Saccharomyces cerevisiae S288C: one gene and its partner. The protein of the gene in region 1 interacts with the protein of each later gene in a biochemical or structural test. Each region holds a gene or a part of one and is shown on either strand. Other genes may lie near its edges.

Evidence for each region.
Region 2: the proteins of LSB3 (region 1) and BSP1 interact in a test that uses a peptide from one of them, tested with the Saccharomyces cerevisiae proteins (one study listed by BioGRID).

Annotation. Positions count from the first base shown.
Region 1 is NC_001138.5:196,980-205,066, forward strand, and holds LSB3 (Lsb3p), read right to left. Parts: upstream 6,455-8,087; coding exon 6,408-6,454; intron 6,314-6,407; coding exon 4,981-6,313; downstream 1-4,980. Other genes in the region: ROG3 (Rog3p), read left to right, coding at 1-2,055; PES4 (Pes4p), read left to right, coding at 2,895-4,730; HIS2 (histidinol-phosphatase), read right to left, coding at 6,764-7,771.
Region 2 is NC_001148.4:878,609-889,056, reverse strand, and holds BSP1 (Bsp1p), read right to left. Parts: upstream 5,230-10,448; coding exon 3,499-5,229; downstream 1-3,498. Other genes in the region: DPB2 (DNA polymerase epsilon noncatalytic subunit), read right to left, coding at 1-83; CSA1 (Csa1p), read left to right, coding at 349-1,014; AAA family ATPase VPS4, read left to right, coding at 1,220-2,533; YPR172W (pyridoxal 5'-phosphate synthase), read right to left, coding at 2,659-3,261; YPR170W-B (uncharacterized protein), read right to left, coding at 5,462-5,570, 5,670-5,818; JIP5 (Jip5p), read right to left, coding at 8,889-10,367. UniProt on the Saccharomyces cerevisiae protein: Recruits the capping protein complex to actin patches and the actomyosin contractile ring, and/or stabilizes their interaction. May serve as an adapter to link INP52 and INP53 to the cortical actin cytoskeleton. Binds F-actin.

The DNA of each region.
Region 1 (8,087 bases):
ATTAACGAACCCATGCAGATCAAAAGCATATCATTGAGACTTTATGGGAAGATACAAATAGACGTACCATTAGAGAGGCCCCAGGACGCTAGTTCTTCGTCGTTGTCTTCATCGCCGCCAAAGATCAGAAAGTACAACAAAGTTTTTTATAATTACGCATGGGATAATGTTAACCTCAAGGAGTATCTGAGTGGTTTAAGAGGGCAATCTGGCCTTGCGGGCAGTAGCTCATCAAGTAATATCTTGGGCACTCGCCAAAGAGCTCAGTCCACAAGTTCCTTGAAGTCTTTAAAGGGGTCCTCCTCACCCTCTTCATGTACTTTAGATAAGGGCAACTACGATTTTCCCTTTAGTGCTATTTTGCCTGGTTCGTTACCAGAGAGCGTAGAATCTTTGCCAAATTGCTTCGTGACATATAGCATGGAATCCGTTATTGAACGCAGCAAAAATTATAGTGATTTGATCTGTAGGAAAAATATTAGAGTTCTGAGAACCATTTCACCCGCAGCAGTGGAGTTATCAGAAACTGTTTGTGTAGATAACTCATGGCCCGACAAAGTGGATTATTCTATTTCAGTACCCAACAAAGCCGTAGCTATTGGTTCAGCCACCCCTATAAATATTTCCATTGTACCTCTTTCGAAAGGTTTGAAATTGGGCTCAATCAAAGTCGTATTATTTGAGAATTATCAATATTGTGACCCCTTCCCTCCAGTAATTTCTGAAAATAGGCAAGTGACAGAACTAAATCTTGAAGATCCCTTGAACGAGTCATCTGGAGAATTTAATGGTAATGGTTGCTTTGTAAATAACCCCTTTTTTCAGCCTGATCATTCATTCCAAGACAAGTGGGAGATTGATACCATCCTGCAAATCCCGAACAGCTTATCAAACTGTGTGCAAGATTGTGATGTCCGCTCTAACATTAAGGTTCGCCATAAGCTCAAATTTTTCATCATCCTAATTAACCCAGATGGTCATAAATCTGAGTTAAGAGCGTCCTTACCGATTCAACTTTTTATTTCACCATTTGTGGCACTTTCAATAAAACCATTGTCATCCTCGAATTTGTATTCGCTTTTTAGCACCACTAACCAGAAAGACGAAAACTCATCACAAGAAGAGGAAGAGGAATATCTGTTTTCTAGATCAGCATCAGTCACAGGGTTGGAATTATTAGCGGATATGCGTAGCGGTGGCTCTGTTCCTACCATTTCAGACTTGATGACGCCCCCAAATTATGAAATGCACGTATATGATCGTCTTTATAGCGGTTCTTTCACTCGCACGGCTGTGGAAACGTCTGGAACATGTACTCCTTTGGGAAGCGAATGTTCGACTGTCGAGGATCAGCAACAGGATTTAGAAGATTTACGTATACGGTTGACAAAAATTAGAAATCAACGTGACAATCTAGGGCTACCACCGTCTGCCTCGTCTGCTGCCGCTTCCAGATCGCTATCTCCATTACTAAACGTTCCAGCACCAGAGGATGGCACGGAGAGAATCTTACCTCAGAGTGCTCTTGGTCCCAATAGTGGCTCTGTGCCAGGAGTACATAGTAACGTATCACCTGTTTTACTTTCAAGATCCCCAGCCCCAAGCGTGTCAGCCCATGAAGTGTTACCAGTGCCCTCGGGCTTAAATTATCCAGAGACTCAAAACCTGAACAAGGTTCCATCGTATGGCAAGGCAATGAAATATGATATCATTGGTGAGGACCTTCCTCCTTCCTACCCTTGTGCGATACAAAATGTGCAACCAAGAAAACCCAGTAGGGTACATTCCAGGAACTCTTCGACAACATTGTCATCTTCTATACCAACTAGCTTTCATTCCTCTAGTTTTATGAGTAGCACTGCTTCCCCTATTTCCATAATTAATGGCTCTAGAAGTAGTTCTAGTGGGGTATCTCTTAATACACTTAATGAGTTAACTTCGAAAACTTCGAATAACCCATCCAGTAATAGTATGAAAAGGTCACCAACAAGACGGAGGGCTACTTCTTTAGCTGGGTTTATGGGAGGTTTTCTATCAAAGGGTAACAAACGATAGTCGCCGATATTGTTTCGGCTCGTGCATTAAGCTTGTATAGTTTCATATAGAAAGTGATGTATATAGCATTTACGCACTCTAACTGGCATTTTAAAGAAAAAGGGATAAATGCAATGTTTGGCGTGCGGCAGTATAAGTTCAAAAAAATCCACTGCATTGTTGAAAAGAGTCAGGTCGATCCTGCTATTGGTTTTCAGTTTGAGGGATCCTTTGATTTGCTAGATATCATAAGATAAATGGTCCACCATAAAGTAATTAAATCTTGAAATTAAATTCTTATTCCATTAGAGACAGAGAAACTATTCATTGTACATTCTCCAAATGTGGTGATATAAACACTACATTCGCTAAATTACATTATATTATTTCGAGCTTTGTCTTGTTTATATTTAGTTACGTTGGGATCAAGTTTTAAAAAACTAGATCTGGAGTGACCAAAAAAAAAATACCCAGCGTAAGGTAAATATTATGGATATGCTTTGGAAGAAAAGAATTTTGAGACTTACACATTATTCGGCACAGTAGGTACTAGAAAGCATAGAATCACATTCGCCTTTAAAGACATTCTTTTTTCTTGCTCCTTCTATGGACTGCGACACAATAGTTGTTTTTGTGTCGTACCGAAGAAAAAGCCTTGTGCAGAAAGCAAAAATAGTACACTTCTAGCCTTGATTACCAAGAGTTATGACAAAAATTTGCAGTTCAGAGTATACCTTAAAAACTGTTCCTAAGGTCAAATAAAGAGGAAAATAATCAAACTAATTATTCATTAATTGAACGAACCAATAATAACGAGAGAATCAGTATCACAAAAAAAATTTCAACCTACAAGAGGAAACATGTATTCTATTTCAAACAAAAAACCTTCTATACTCAGTATGGTTCCCCTGAATATTTTGAAAAACCAGGATTTGAAAGTAAAAAAAGATCAAGAAAAGAAAATATCATTTAACCCCGTAGTTACTCCTATTAGGCCAGACGACTACCACGAAAAAACATCCAGATCGTCAAGTTCGAGCCATTCTGATTCACCTGAATTTTTGAGAATTAACAACAACAAATCCGGTCACAAGAATGGAAAATTGAAAAGTTTTGAAAGTAAAAAACTAGTTCCGCTATTCATTGGTGACCTCCATGAAACAGTTACTGAAGAAACTTTAAAAGGGATCTTCAAAAAATATCCCTCTTTTGTCTCTGCTAAAGTTTGTCTTGATTCAGTGACAAAAAAATCACTGGGCCATGGTTACTTAAATTTTGAAGACAAAGAAGAAGCTGAAAAGGCTATGGAAGAATTAAATTACACGAAGGTTAATGGTAAAGAAATTAGGATTATGCCATCATTGAGGAATACAACGTTTAGAAAGAATTTCGGCACTAATGTCTTTTTCTCTAATCTACCTCTAAATAATCCATTATTAACAACAAGAGTATTCTATGATACGTTTTCTAGATATGGTAAAATTCTATCATGCAAATTAGACTCTAGGAAAGATATAGGATTTGTTTACTTTGAGGACGAAAAAACTGCGAGAAATGTGATCAAAATGTACAATAATACCAGTTTTTTTGGTAAGAAAATTCTATGTGGAATACATTTTGATAAAGAGGTCAGAAGTGTTCCAAATTTTGAAACACAAAAATCACGATTAGATGCGGAAACAATTATTGAAAAAGAGCAATCTTTGAATGAGAAACACTCCAAGGGGAATGATAAGGAATCTAAAAATATTTACTCTTCATCCCAAAATTCTATATTCATCAAAAACCTTCCAACAATAACTACAAGGGATGATATTTTAAATTTCTTCAGTGAAGTGGGTCCAATTAAGTCAATTTATCTATCCAATGCCACTAAAGTTAAATATCTTTGGGCATTTGTTACATATAAAAATAGCAGTGACTCAGAAAAGGCAATTAAACGCTACAATAATTTTTATTTCAGAGGTAAAAAGCTTTTAGTAACCAGGGCACAGGATAAAGAAGAAAGAGCCAAATTTATAGAATCTCAAAAAATATCTACACTTTTCCTGGAAAATTTAAGCGCTGTCTGCAATAAGGAATTTCTTAAATATTTATGTCACCAAGAAAATATTAGACCGTTCAAGATTCAGATAGATGGATATGACGAAAATTCTTCTACATATTCTGGGTTCATCAAATTCAGGAATTTTGAAGATGCTACGAGAATATTTAACTTTTTGAATAACCGTTTAGTAGGAGGAAGCATCGTCACGACATCTTGGGAAAGACAAAATAATGCACCTAAATATCATGATGGTTATGGAATGCGCAATATACACACCTCTTCTCATCCACAAATTACCCCATATTACCAGTACTCACATGCGAATAGTTTGAACTCCCCACACATGAGAGATCTTTCGTCAATGAATAGCAGCACAAGATCACTAATAAAGAATAAAAATTTCAATAAGAAAGTTTTGGAAACATTCGAAAAGCAAGTAAGAAGAGGTATAGATTTCATGAGATTTCCAAGTGCCACTAGAGACGAAAATGTGCACGGAATAGCTGAGTATATATTCGACACTTATTGGAATCGCGATGTGTTAATATTGGACAAATTTTTATCGTTGCTAAATAGTAGTCCATATCATGAAGGTGTATTGCAAAAACAAATTGAAGAGGCTGCAAGCTCGTTAGGATTTAAAAGATGAATGTCTCTTTGTTAATTTAGCTAGAGTTTTCCTTATTTATTTTTTTTATTTACACTAATTCAATCTTTTTCGTTATATTTAGATATTATTAAAAATTATTATTATGGAAAAAATTCTTAAAAGGATAGACAGAGGGACGCCGTCTGCTATATGATATGTATTTAGGTCCGAGTGCTGATAAACTGTAAGGCAAAAGGTATAAGTGTAAATCAATAACGTTTCTCGTATTCTTTACTCTCCTTCAAATTTTTTAAACTAGTTCAACGTAATTTGCTGGGAATATACCTTCTCTACCGTTGACTCTTCCGGTCCACCAGTCATTTTGAGAATCTGATTTTTTCAAAATTGTGATCACGTCACCCTTTCTGAATGGTAAATCTCCGGACTCTTCTCCTGCAAAGCTATATAATGCCACGGCCTTTGGAGAAGACGTGGATGGGGATGTTGGAGCAGTGAATCTGCCCTGACTAGTTTGCGGTGTTGAAGCGGACGAGATTCTAGATTTAGAAAATCTGTTCGACAAGTCATCGACTTCACGGTCTTTTGTCCTATCTCTTCCATTCCCGCGTCTATACCCGGATTCATAATCATCATCATAATCATCGTATTCATCATCAGCCCAACGATTTCTTGAAGAACGAGCCCTTGACTGAGCAGTTCCTGATCTTCTGTGGCTGGCATAATAACTTGAAGCTCCAGATGGGTCATCCAATTTACCACCACTACCGCCACTGTTGGTAGGAGCCAGTCTTGAATTCCTTGAATAGCCAGTACCATAATCATCATCGTCATCATCATCGTCGAACGTATAACGAGAACCGCTTTGGGCTCTTCTCCTTGTGGATCTTGTGTTAGGTCTAGTGGAGGAAGCATCTGTAGAACTGAATGAACTAGGAATGTCATTATAGTAATCGTCGTCGTCATAGTAATCGTCTTCGTCGTCATCGAAACTGCCACGACCACCGTTGGAGGGTCTGTAATTAAACGCCCTGGACTCTAAAACACGAAACAATGGATCAACTGCTGGAGGCGGTCTTATCCTACCAGACAAAATCATTTTCGCGGTACAATTGTCACCATAAAATTTTCTGTTAGCCTCTCTTCTTTCTATAATAGCCGAACCTTCCACAGAAACCCCTGCAAATAGACCTTTACTCTTAGAATAGGCAAAAACTGCAGCCACACCACCGGCGGAGGCTGATGCAGCTGCTTCTGCACTTCTACCAAGAGGCCCAGCAGAAACGGAGACGTTACCACCCAACGTGATGGTCCCAAATTCAGAAAACGACTTAACAGCATCCTGAGTATTTAAAATGAAAACAAAATCAGTCAATTCTATACCAACCATCCCACCGGCACCAGCACCTGCCATGGCAATGGCAGATGGAGCTGACCAAGTACCATCCTTTAATCTTGCGACAATCACACCAGAACCAGCTCTACCTGAAAATAGAAAACCTGCTTTTAAGATCGTTATGATAGCCAACCCTTTAGCTCTTTTCAAAACGTCTGGAGGAATGACTTGGTCCGCACCAAAAACTTGGTTTGGTTTGACAAAACTAGCCAAAATCTTCGCTGCTTTTCTTTATTAATTGTTTATTACTAGTTAGTAAATGATGAACAAATTAAGGGAGAACTTTTTTAAAGGTTTCCCAGCCAAACCCGTATAAAACATACTTTGTCTCACTCTTTAAACTCCTTGGAATAGGATTGTTAATACCCATTGCGTGTGATACAGCTTTTGTTTTTGATTTCTTTGCCACCCGTGATCCAAAGCCGTTCTAGATTTCTTCGATAGTTTATACTCTTTCATGTTGAACTTCCAGATGCGGCCGAGTCGGCGAGCAAACAGGGTGCTGCTACTAAACGAACAATAAAGAAAGACAATTTGGGCACCCAATATAAAATGAGCAGTCAATTCAATCAATTCAGTGTGAAATTTTTTTCTTGGAAAGATCATTCACTTCTACACAGCTGTACATGAGTTTATATGACAGTTTTTTTTTATGTACATCCAGTTCAAGATAATCAGATTATATATTGGCCCAAAAGGGATCATTAACGAATTGCGAAATGGGTAATCTCTTTACAGTTAACAGATTCTCTGGTGATTGGCTTTCCTCAAGGTAGCAAATATACTCTAATTGTAGCACGTCTACTATGTATTTCTTTACCTTGTCATAGCACACACCCACTTGCGCCACGCCGTGTGCGTCATCACTTAGAACAAATCTGGATCCACAGTGCTTCTTGACCAGATTACATAAGGTTTTGCTGGGGTACGGCTCCTCGAGGCGCTTTCTTAATGCGGACGTATTGATTTCAATTGCGCCGCCATAGGAGTCTATAAATTGTAAATTTCTTACAACTGCATCGTATATTTCTGGCCATTCACTGATGACGTCCAGTGAAGCTACAGGAACTCCGGTTTCTTCGTTGCAGTTGCCCGATTTCTGGTTTACTAGCATGTCATTGGGCAAAAATAATTTGTAAAGGTCGAAGTGACCCACGACCAACGGTTTAATATTGATCAGCATTTCGTACTGTGATTGGAAGTAAGACAGGAGAAAATGTTTCAAATTATCATTGAAGGAATGCAATGAATTGTACCATTGTTGTTGGTCGAAATCAATAGGGATCCCGTTGACGTGATGGACCGAACCCACACAAAACTTCAAAATATCATTATTCTCCTTCATGAGTCGCTTTGCATATTCGATATGAGCCATGTCACAACTTTCGATCTCCATTCCTATAATGAATTTAGTCCGCACATCGGGTCTATCAGCATAACGAGTCTTGATTTCTTGCGCATGACTCATGAAATTCTTGAACGATGTTTCTAGCTTGGTTATGACTTCCTCAGGATTCTTGCCCAATGACTGCTCTTCGGGGTATATAAACTTGGCCTCAATTCTTGGTATGTGCTCTGTCAAACAGTACGTGTGAAAGTTGAGGTTGACCACTTGATCGACCACGGAATCCAAAGGGTCCGTACCGTGGGCACTATAGTCACCGGAGTGTGAATGGTGTGAGTGCATGACCTCGAGGATTTTTACTGAATTGTACGTATCAAGAAGTACTAAAATGTGTTTGAAAGGGAAAGATTGTACGGGAAATGGAAAATGTACATATAATATCCAGTATCATTTGAGTTGATAGAGATTATCTCTATAGATAGAGAGATTTGACAAAAAAAATAAAAAAATTTAAATGGACGAGTCCGGAATCGAACCGGAGACCTCTCCCATGCTAAGGGAGCGCGCTACCGACTACGCCACACGCCCGAACGTTTGTTGAAATCTTCCAAACAGAAATGATACAGGTTTACTTTACAGCAAGACATTAGTAGTTTCA
Region 2 (10,448 bases), on another chromosome or scaffold:
TTTCTTGATAAAACTCTATACGCCAGTGGCCTAAGCAGCGGAGGCTGAATTTTAACAGGCAGAACATTCCCAGAGCCAAACATTTCACACATAGACGCTTCTAGTTCCACTTACAAACTTTAAAGGCATAAACAAGTCATCTCAACTTTATTGTAACATGTGTTAAAGATGCCCAGTTGAAATATTTTTCTATTATGTCACGCGAAAAATAACGCGTCACATCACTTTTGTTCCTTTTGTCGTTTTTCTTCTTTTAGATTCCATCTTGAAAAGAGATGAAATGGACAAAGTAACATAATTTAGACCCAACAAAGTAAAAAGAAGGTTGGGTTGGCATTGAAGATCACAATGGGAATTCAGGAAAAGACATTGGGGATACGAAAAGAGCGCAAATTGGTGGTTGTGCCTCGCGAAAGAAATCATGTTAGACACGCTTCACAAAGGACACGTTCTAAAAACTACAAGAATATCTCCAAAAAGAGGGCTCAACAACACGCGTTTGGATTCAATATTGCTAAGACTCTTGCCAAGATCCAAGCGTTTGTATGGGGGTCTCCCGCAGATGAGGAAGAAGAAAGCGTTGTCCCATTGTCTAAAAATTCTCAGGATTGTGTGCCTCTACAATGGCAAGCAAAGTTTGCGCAATTGCGGCAGCAGCTGCACTCTACACAAAAGGAACTACAATTTGTCAAGGAAAAGTGTCATCTGTTGCAGTCGGTGTTGGACGACGCAAACATCGATCAAAGATACCTGGAGTCTCGTCGAGACATGAAAAATATTGAGCGAGACAACCTCAAACCGACAGAAAATTTACCACCTTCGCCAGTAAGAGCAGTAAACCCGTTAGTGACTTCAAGTCCGATTCACATGTCGCCACTCCAGTCGCGCCAACGACCAGTTTCTTCCCTACAGCCCCCAAAGGGCCCCAACTTCTACGCCAAGTATCCTAAGCTTCCTCAAACGAACATTCTCAGAGAATCTCCGACTGAGGATTCGGTTCCGCACGCTGAATAGAAACACAACACGTCATGGTTGTTCTTTCTGTACATCTATTTATTCTTGCTTGATGATATTTATTGTATTGCTTTACGGGTACCCCCGCTGGGTGAAAAAAAAAAAAAAATAAGAACTTCATGATATCGAACGATTTAATCGTGGGTTGAGGACATGGAAGACAAAAATAAAGCAGCATAGAGTGCCTATAGTAGATGGGGTACAAATGAGCACGGGAGATTTTTTAACTAAGGGAATAGAACTGGTTCAAAAGGCCATTGACCTGGACACAGCCACGCAGTATGAGGAGGCGTATACAGCATACTATAACGGATTAGATTATTTGATGTTGGCTTTGAAATACGAGAAAAACCCTAAGTCGAAGGATTTGATAAGAGCGAAGTTTACAGAGTATCTAAACCGTGCAGAGCAGTTGAAAAAGCACTTGGAAAGTGAAGAGGCAAACGCGGCAAAGAAATCTCCTAGCGCTGGTAGTGGTTCCAACGGTGGTAATAAGAAAATCTCTCAGGAAGAGGGTGAGGATAATGGTGGAGAAGACAACAAAAAGCTAAGAGGTGCCTTATCGAGTGCTATTTTGTCTGAGAAGCCCAATGTTAAGTGGGAAGACGTGGCTGGACTGGAAGGAGCCAAAGAGGCCCTTAAAGAAGCCGTTATTTTACCTGTCAAGTTCCCACATTTGTTCAAAGGTAACCGTAAGCCCACTTCGGGAATCTTATTGTACGGACCACCAGGTACAGGTAAATCATATTTGGCAAAAGCAGTGGCCACCGAGGCCAATTCTACCTTTTTCAGTGTTAGTTCCAGTGATTTGGTTTCTAAGTGGATGGGTGAATCTGAAAAACTTGTCAAACAGTTATTTGCGATGGCAAGAGAAAATAAACCTTCTATTATTTTTATAGATGAAGTGGATGCGCTAACAGGTACCAGAGGAGAAGGAGAGAGCGAAGCAAGTAGAAGAATTAAAACAGAATTATTGGTACAAATGAATGGTGTTGGGAATGACTCCCAAGGTGTTTTGGTCCTTGGCGCAACAAATATCCCATGGCAACTGGACAGTGCCATCAGGAGAAGATTTGAAAGAAGAATATATATACCATTACCAGATTTGGCGGCAAGAACCACCATGTTCGAGATTAACGTCGGCGACACTCCATGCGTATTGACCAAGGAAGATTATAGAACTTTAGGTGCAATGACTGAAGGTTATTCCGGGAGTGATATTGCTGTAGTGGTGAAAGATGCGCTAATGCAACCGATAAGAAAAATTCAAAGCGCGACACATTTCAAAGATGTCTCTACGGAGGACGACGAAACAAGAAAACTAACACCATGCTCTCCAGGTGATGATGGCGCCATCGAGATGAGTTGGACGGATATTGAAGCTGATGAATTAAAAGAACCAGATCTCACCATAAAGGATTTCTTAAAGGCTATCAAATCGACGAGACCTACCGTGAATGAGGATGACTTGCTGAAGCAAGAACAGTTCACTAGAGATTTTGGTCAAGAAGGTAACTAGTCAATTGATTAACGTGCTAATGTAGATTTCTTGTGTACATGAAAATAAAAAATAAAAAAAAAAAAAAAACAGAATAATTAAATACAGAATCGTATGCAAAATAGATAAAGAAAAGCAGAGGACAGTTAACTCTTCCCTTTACTTAGAAACATTGTTCTGTTCTCATTATTGGATACCCTAGCATTATCAATTCTAACTTTAACAACGGCGGTGTTCTTTTCAAATATAAAAGCTTTCGCATCAGGATTAGCCTTTAGTATTAAATCTTTATAGTACTTGGATTCTTCACTTTCAGGATTGACAATTTCGGTTTCGCCACCAATAGATGCGCTCATTTGGTTCAATTCGGCTTGATTTAACTCCTGTAACAAATTTAAAAGCTCGCTTTGACGTTGCTCTTCATGAGGAATAGAAGTCGGCGTCGGAGTCCCAGAGATGCTTTCCTTGCCCACTGACAAATTATTCGCGATGATCCAATCGTGAAACAACAGGGCGACCTTAGGGTTCTCCTTGATGTTGTAAAACTTTTGTGTGTCCTGAGGAGAAACAAATATAATGTAGTCATTCTTATTATCTGTTTGACCGAACAGTTTTTCACCTGGCACATAGATATAGTTCATCAATGCCACTGAAGGGATGCAGTCTTTAGAACAGGTGGCCACGTGAACATATTTGGAGTTTTTGATCAGGTTCAGTAGATGCGCTGGTAATGTACTAGTCCAAGCCATAATTGAGATGTTTCAGGGTTTGAATAGCCTGTAATTTTACTGCTATTTTCTAATAAGGGAGGAAAAGTGTAGCAAAAAGATCGATGATTTATATTCCTTCAGGTTCATAAGGGGAGCAAATGTCAAAGCGCAAACGTGGGAAGTGACGATAATACATGTATCCCATTAAATTATCATATTATTGTTACATCATATGTACGTACATACATGTGTAAAATACGGAGGTCTACTCTGTAGTTACACGCGTGTTGGAAGTTTTCTTCTGGGACCACGAGTCCTATTTTTATTCGGGTGAACTAATGGTTTAGTTTCCTTCACTGTTTCATCTCTAGAAGTAGTATACTTGTCAGAAGTTGCAATATTAGTGTTAACACCGCTAAGTTCTGGTAGAGTATTAGATGCTCTTAAGTTTCTAGAGGCAATTATTGCGTCTAATTTTGCGTTTATGCTCAGTTCGTTTGAGGACTCTAAAACAGGCTCGGTTTTAGATTTTTTCATCAATTCGACTTTTCGCAATGCCTCTGGCAAAGAAATTTTACGTTGTGGCGCCGTTGGTGGCCGTTTCTTCAGGTTATTCCGCAATGATAGAGCTTCAATTTCGTCATTTAACTTGTTAATATCATCACCATTTTTGAGTGTAGTATTTTTCGAATTATTTGTTAGAAATGATTTTTTCTGAGGGATTGCAGGCTTCTGCTGTTTGGTTTTCTTCAGATTTTGTATACCTTTTATTGCTTCTGGAATACTGTCCTCCTCTTCTTTTTTAATGTTACGGTTGCTGGATCGTAACTTGGGCAAATCGATTGAGTTTTCGAAGTTCTGCTTTGTTGGAGAAGTTTCTACGGGACGTAGCTCAGGTAATACTATATTCAACTCCACTTTCTTTGGCGGTATGCTTGGTTTGGTCTTATGGGCGGCCAAATTTGCATTCCGTAGCTTTTGAGGTTTTTCAGGCAAAGAAGGCTTGGAAGTTGTCGTGAGATTCGAGTTTAGCATAGACTTGATAAAACTTTCAGATCTTGGAATTCTTTTCGCAGGTGGAGAAGGAGGGGTTGGTTTAGGTTTATTTTTCATTGTAGGAGATAAGGTGGTTGGTTTTAGTTGTATGGAATCCAAGTAATCGATATGAGAACTTTTTACAGTTGTTTTGGGAGTTTCCATTTCCGAATTATAACTCTTCGCCTTTGTCAATTTGTTATCTTCCAAAGAACTTAAAAAGCTCGCCGGTTTTGTAGAGCGTGAGACAGGTGGAGCAGGCTTAACGCGCTCAGGTACCACAGCATCCGGTTTTATTGACCTTGATGACGGACTTTCTGTAACTTCTGCTTTGTTAGGCCTTGTTGGAAGAAGCGGTTTCTCTTCATTCCCATCTGTGATTTTGATATGATCACGCCTTGTGGGCAAAGGCGGTGGTGATGAAGAAGAGGAGGAGGAGGGTATATCGGCTCTTCCTGGTAATTCAAAATCATATTGGATGGTGATTATTTCCTTCTCTCTCGGTCTGGGTCGACCCCGACTGGGCATACGAGGACCTTTTTCAAAGGAAGGCAAATTTTTGTCAGCATTGGAATCATTATATGTTTGAGAGGCTTTCAATTTCTGCAATAATAAATAATCTTCTTCAGAAATTAAAAATTTTTTTTCTTTTTGAGAGGCACTTCCCTCCAAATCCGGCCTTGGCGTTATTCGTTCGAGATTCAGCTCACTTAATGAGTAATGAGTCTTCTTTGGAGAAAACGTCATTTCATAATTGTACGCAGATCGGTAGGCCAAATTGTCGCAACCTTCCACATTTTTCCCTGTCATCATATCAGCCCTTCTGTATTCCCCAGAGTTGTGACTTCTAACTGGTGAAAGCGCTTCCCCCGCTGGTTTTGAACTAGGAATATTACTGTATCTCTTAGAGTTCAAATCCTCCACTTTCGATAGAAAGTTCACCAATTCAGGGTCACGCTCATATTTTGTCATACTTCCGAAACTTCGAAAAGCTAGGAAAAGCTGGTTACTGTGACTTTTATTGATTAGAATTCATATATAAATGTATATATTTATACTATATATTCTTTCATAATATTTCACTCAATTCGCTATTGTCGAAAAGTGTAATAAAAAAGAATGTCACATGGAACGAGGTTACGATAAGTATATAGAACAGTTGGACGATATTAATGCATTTGGTATTATCCTATTGGCTTCAAGACTAACGCAACTCGATCGAAGGTTTTCTTCTGGCTAGGTAAACTTGGAACCCACAGAATACGAAAAACACGAGGTATACCAAGGCAGCCAAATAAACAGTATGTGCAACACTATAAACAATAGGGTTAAAATATAATTGTTAGTAAGGAGGAGAGATATAAGAGATGGTAAATGGGTAACGGCGAAATAAATAAGAAAATATAACATACGCAGGTCCATCTTCAGGATCGTTTATTGATCCTACAAAGGATTCATGGTTTGTGTTGAAGAGATGAGCAATGACGGAAAGAATTACTACACCAAATGCCGATAGGACGGTACAACACCATGCCTTACCAGTGGATACAACGGGTCTCATTTTTTTTGCGGTGTTTGCTTCTAGCTTTGTCCTTTATCGTAGAGGTTCTTGCTTTGAAAGCTACCTATTCTTTTCTTTTCCCTTAAGCTATTTTTCAAATAATAGAAAAAAGAGTCGCGTGCAAAGCGATAAGCAATTTTTTTCAGTCTTTAAAAAAAATGATCCTGAACAGCAGCATCTTTATTATGCAGCGTTGATGCAGTTTCTAACTCAATTAGTTGAATCACCTACGCTCTTCTGTGTTTGCACTCAGTAGTATTGTGGTGTTCTTTTCGATATTCTCAGATACCGTTTATTGTGCGCCATACCGATGGATGCAGAAATATCATTTAAATAGTTAAGCCAGGAAGTGGCTGAGACATATTATCAATATTTCGGCACGTAAAGCTAGGCGGCTTTACTGAACATCAGCACCTTGAATTTCATGTTGCCTTGTATGTACAAACTAAACCCTTACTCAGTAATAAAAACTAAAATGTGTCTTCTAGTTATGAATGCTCTTAGTATAACTCTCATGAAGCAGTCAAGTCACTTTCATGTATTTTATAATACGAGGCGAATGTCTAGGCTAAGTTAAAAAACTAGATATAGAAACCATTCCCGAAATATCATATAATTATAATATCCTGGACACTTTACTTATCTAGCGTATGTTATTACTCGATAAGTGCTAAAGGAGGTGCACGCATTATGGAGACCACTACGATACGATAGCTGCGTTGTTGTTGAAGGGGTTTCTTAAGGTTGTTTTCGTTGAAGGTAAATATTGGTCGTTTTTGTGCAGCATATTGTCCTCTAGATGCAAACTCTGCAGGTCCATTTGCAGTAAAGTGAGTTGCCTCTCGAAGAATCATTAATTTCGTATAACCGTCACTATTAAAGTCAGAAAATAAATTCTGTCGTAGACAATGTTACCATAATGTTCTTGTCCATTTTGCATACACTTTAAATATTCATTTGATTTCTCAGGGTTCATGATCATAATAAATTGCGCATTCGCAAGGCGGTAGTATTATAATGGGGTCCATCATTCTGTAGCAAGAAGTTACAGTACGCTGTTCAAGCGTTAAACAAGATAAGTAATCTCGAATGAAACATTCATATTTCGCATGAGCCAACATACAGTTGCTGAGTAATCTTCATTGCGCTTATTTATCGGCATTGAGATTGTAAAGGAAGTAAAACGCATTTTTGCAGATCTGTTCTCTTATGTATTTTTAATCGTCCTTGTATGGAAGTATCAAAGGGGACGTTCTTCACCTCCTTGGAATGTGTTCCACTATCCTGTACATGTGAAATGTATAAAAGCCAAAATTGACCTTGTCATTACCAATGAATGCTGTTTTTGCAGAAATAACGAGATATCTGCAATAAAAGCAAAAGTAAGTTTGATAGCAAGAGGTTGTTGTGTTGAAATGAGTGGTAATGAATCGTAATATGAGTTGCTATGGTAACAATTTAAATGCACCCATTGTATATGTTTTAGTGTGAAGGTACCTATTGCAAAAGGAAACGTTAAAAGAGTAGCTCAGACAGTGCTGAAGCAGAGATAAGGTTATATTAATTGAGCATGATACGTTTGTTATACGAGTTGCTACATTAAGTGTTATGGTAATTACCAGACGCATTGTTATATTGATCATAATTAATGTTGAACCAATCGGCGTATATTTTATGCCCCTCTTATACGATTATATTAAGATCCATATTCAACCTTCATTAATACTGCCTTTTTGCCATTAATTATCAATATTTTAGAATATATCTCTCCAATACAGCGTTACCAATATGGTATGCCGAGTCTTGGGTTGCCAAACTAAGAGGCCATGGAATATATTTGAATGTTTGTGATTTGGCTTCATTGTAACATGTAAGTGAACATCAAAAGAGTAGGCATTAAAAGATGGGACGTCAGCACTGTACTTGTTTTTGCGACTAGATTGTAAATCATTCTTTATTTAATCTCTTTCTTTAACTACTGCTTAAAGTATAATTTGGTCCGTAGTTTAATAACTATACTAAGCGTAACAATGCATACTGACATTATAAGCCTGAACATTACGAGTTTAAGTTGTATGTAGGCGTTCTGTAAGAGGTTACTGCGTAAATTATCAACGAATGCATTGGTGTATTTGCGAAAGCTACTTCTTTTAACAAGTATTTACATAAGAATAATGGTGATCTGCTCAACTGATTTGGTGATAACTCTAACTTTTTTAGCAACAATTTAAAAGATAATTCGAACATATATAACAGTAGGAAGAATTTGTGTACGTCAAATTAAGATAATTTAGCATTACCAAAGTTATTAACCTAAACATAAAATATATATGAGACACATGTGGAAATCGTATGAAACAACTGTTATGAAACTGACAAGAATGAATATATAGAGTAAGCTCCGCTTGTAAAGAGGAATCACTTAAGTGTATAAATGTCTCGACGATTACTTTAGATCCAAGATTGATGATTGATATTACTCTGTAATACTTAAGCTCTTTTAATAGCTCACTGTTGTATTACGGGCTCGAGTAATACCGGAGTGTCTTGACAATCCTAATATAAACAGTCTTAGGGAAGTAACCAGTTGTCAAAACTGTTTATCAGCTTGATTCACGGGATGTTACTTATCCTATATATTATATAAAATATGAATCATACTAAATGGTGGAAGCGCGGAAACTCGGATCTAAACTAATTGTTCAGGCATTTATACGTTTGAGTTGTTCAGCTAGGGGAGGCCGGGTTTTACCTCATGTTGTTCGTTTTGTTATAAAGTTGTTTCATATGTGTTTTATGAACGTTTAGGATGAAGTATTGTCATACTGACGTATCCCATTTTGAGATACAACATCTTTAACAATATAATGGTCTCTTGGCCCAGTTGGTTAAGGCACCGTGCTAATAACGCGGGGATCAGCGGTTCGATCCCGCTAGAGACCATTTCTTTTCTCTTTCTTTTTCTCGAAAGAGACAGTTCAACTTATTTTTTTTGGGAGCACTAGGTTAATAATCCTATTTATTTCTGAATATAAATGATATATGTTTTTCTTAGTAAAAAAGAAATAATCTATAAATCATCAAACTTCTTGATCCCATGCTCATACAGGTCCTTTTTTTTGTTGTTCTCCTTCATTATTTTTCTTTTTTTGACAGATTTTGAGTTGGATTCTTTTTCCTCTTGATGATCTTCCTTGAGGTCCTTATCTAATTCGTCTAATAGCTCTTCCTTTGAGAGCCCGACAAGCGTCGTTTCATCATCAGAACTAGTGTCATCACTTAGATCCTCATCAGAGTGGGAGAGGGGTTCGTCGCTATCGGACTCTACCGATGCATTTTCCTCTACATCATCACTCGATAATTCCCATATCTTGATGTTTTCCAAACCACCAGAAACAACACGGTATTCAAAATCTAGATCAACAAAACTGACTTCATCCAATTCACTGTGGTTTCTTATCTCGACGACTTTTCCCAATTTGGCATTTACTTTATAAATGTTACCATTGGAACAACCACACCATACACAGTTATCATCTTGTAAAGTAGGAACAATGCAATCGATACTTTCATCTTTGCTAATTTTAATACGGCTCATTTGATCTTCCAAATCATTCTTATTCGGTTTCCAGACGGTAACAATACCCTCGCCCATCCCACACAAAAGGGTATCTGCTACTTCGGGATCGACGAAACAACCACAAAGAACTTCGTCCTCCTGATCATCGCTGATCAAAATTTTACCATCCTCGTTTCCAGCTACGTTCGGTTTGGCATCTTTGTCGCGAACGTCAAAATAAGCTAACGTTGTCTGGCCCAAAGAAATGAATTTATATGCAGATCTTTTATCAAAGTGGAAAATATCGTTGATAGAGTCGCCAAAATGTATCGAACGAATGGAATTTGATAATGCCAAGTTTTCCGAGTTTATTACGTGTATATTACCGGATTCATCGCCTATTAAAATGAATGGGTGAGTTTGAGAGGCGCATAATTTCGTAAATTTATCATTTTTTTTCTCTTCAGAATTAAACAGTGAGCTTAAGTTTACCTTTTTGACGACTTTGCCGGTCATAGTATTGGCCTTTTTTAAAACATTATCCGATCCAACAGAAAAAATATTGTCACCTTTAGAATCAAAGCACATGGCACGGACACTACCTTTATGTCTTTTAGTCTTCCAAAGTGTTTTTACGCCCAAGTCTTCATCTTTTCCTGTTTGCTTTTGTTGCTGTTGTTCTTCAATATCAACAAATTTCAAATCTCCAGTTTCTAGGTCTATATCTAATCTAATCCAAGGGCATACACCTTTCTTTGCATCCTTGCCTGTAGTTGCAGTGTCAATTCTACGTCTACGATCTAGGTGCGATTGCAACTTAGCGGGGTCATAACGATGGCACACAATATGTCCTGTACCAAAGCCAGTTATTATAATGGGCAGTTCAGGATGTAAAAGAGACTGGAAAATGGGAGCTTTTAATGATAGTAATTCTAGAATGGGCAGGTTTGTTGAATCGACAACATCTGTTTTTTTTTTGCTCTTTGCCATAGCTGATGCGTGGATTGTTTCTAATTTCCCAGCTGCTTCCTCTTCCAATTGTGGCGATGATGCCATGATTTCTATGTTAAA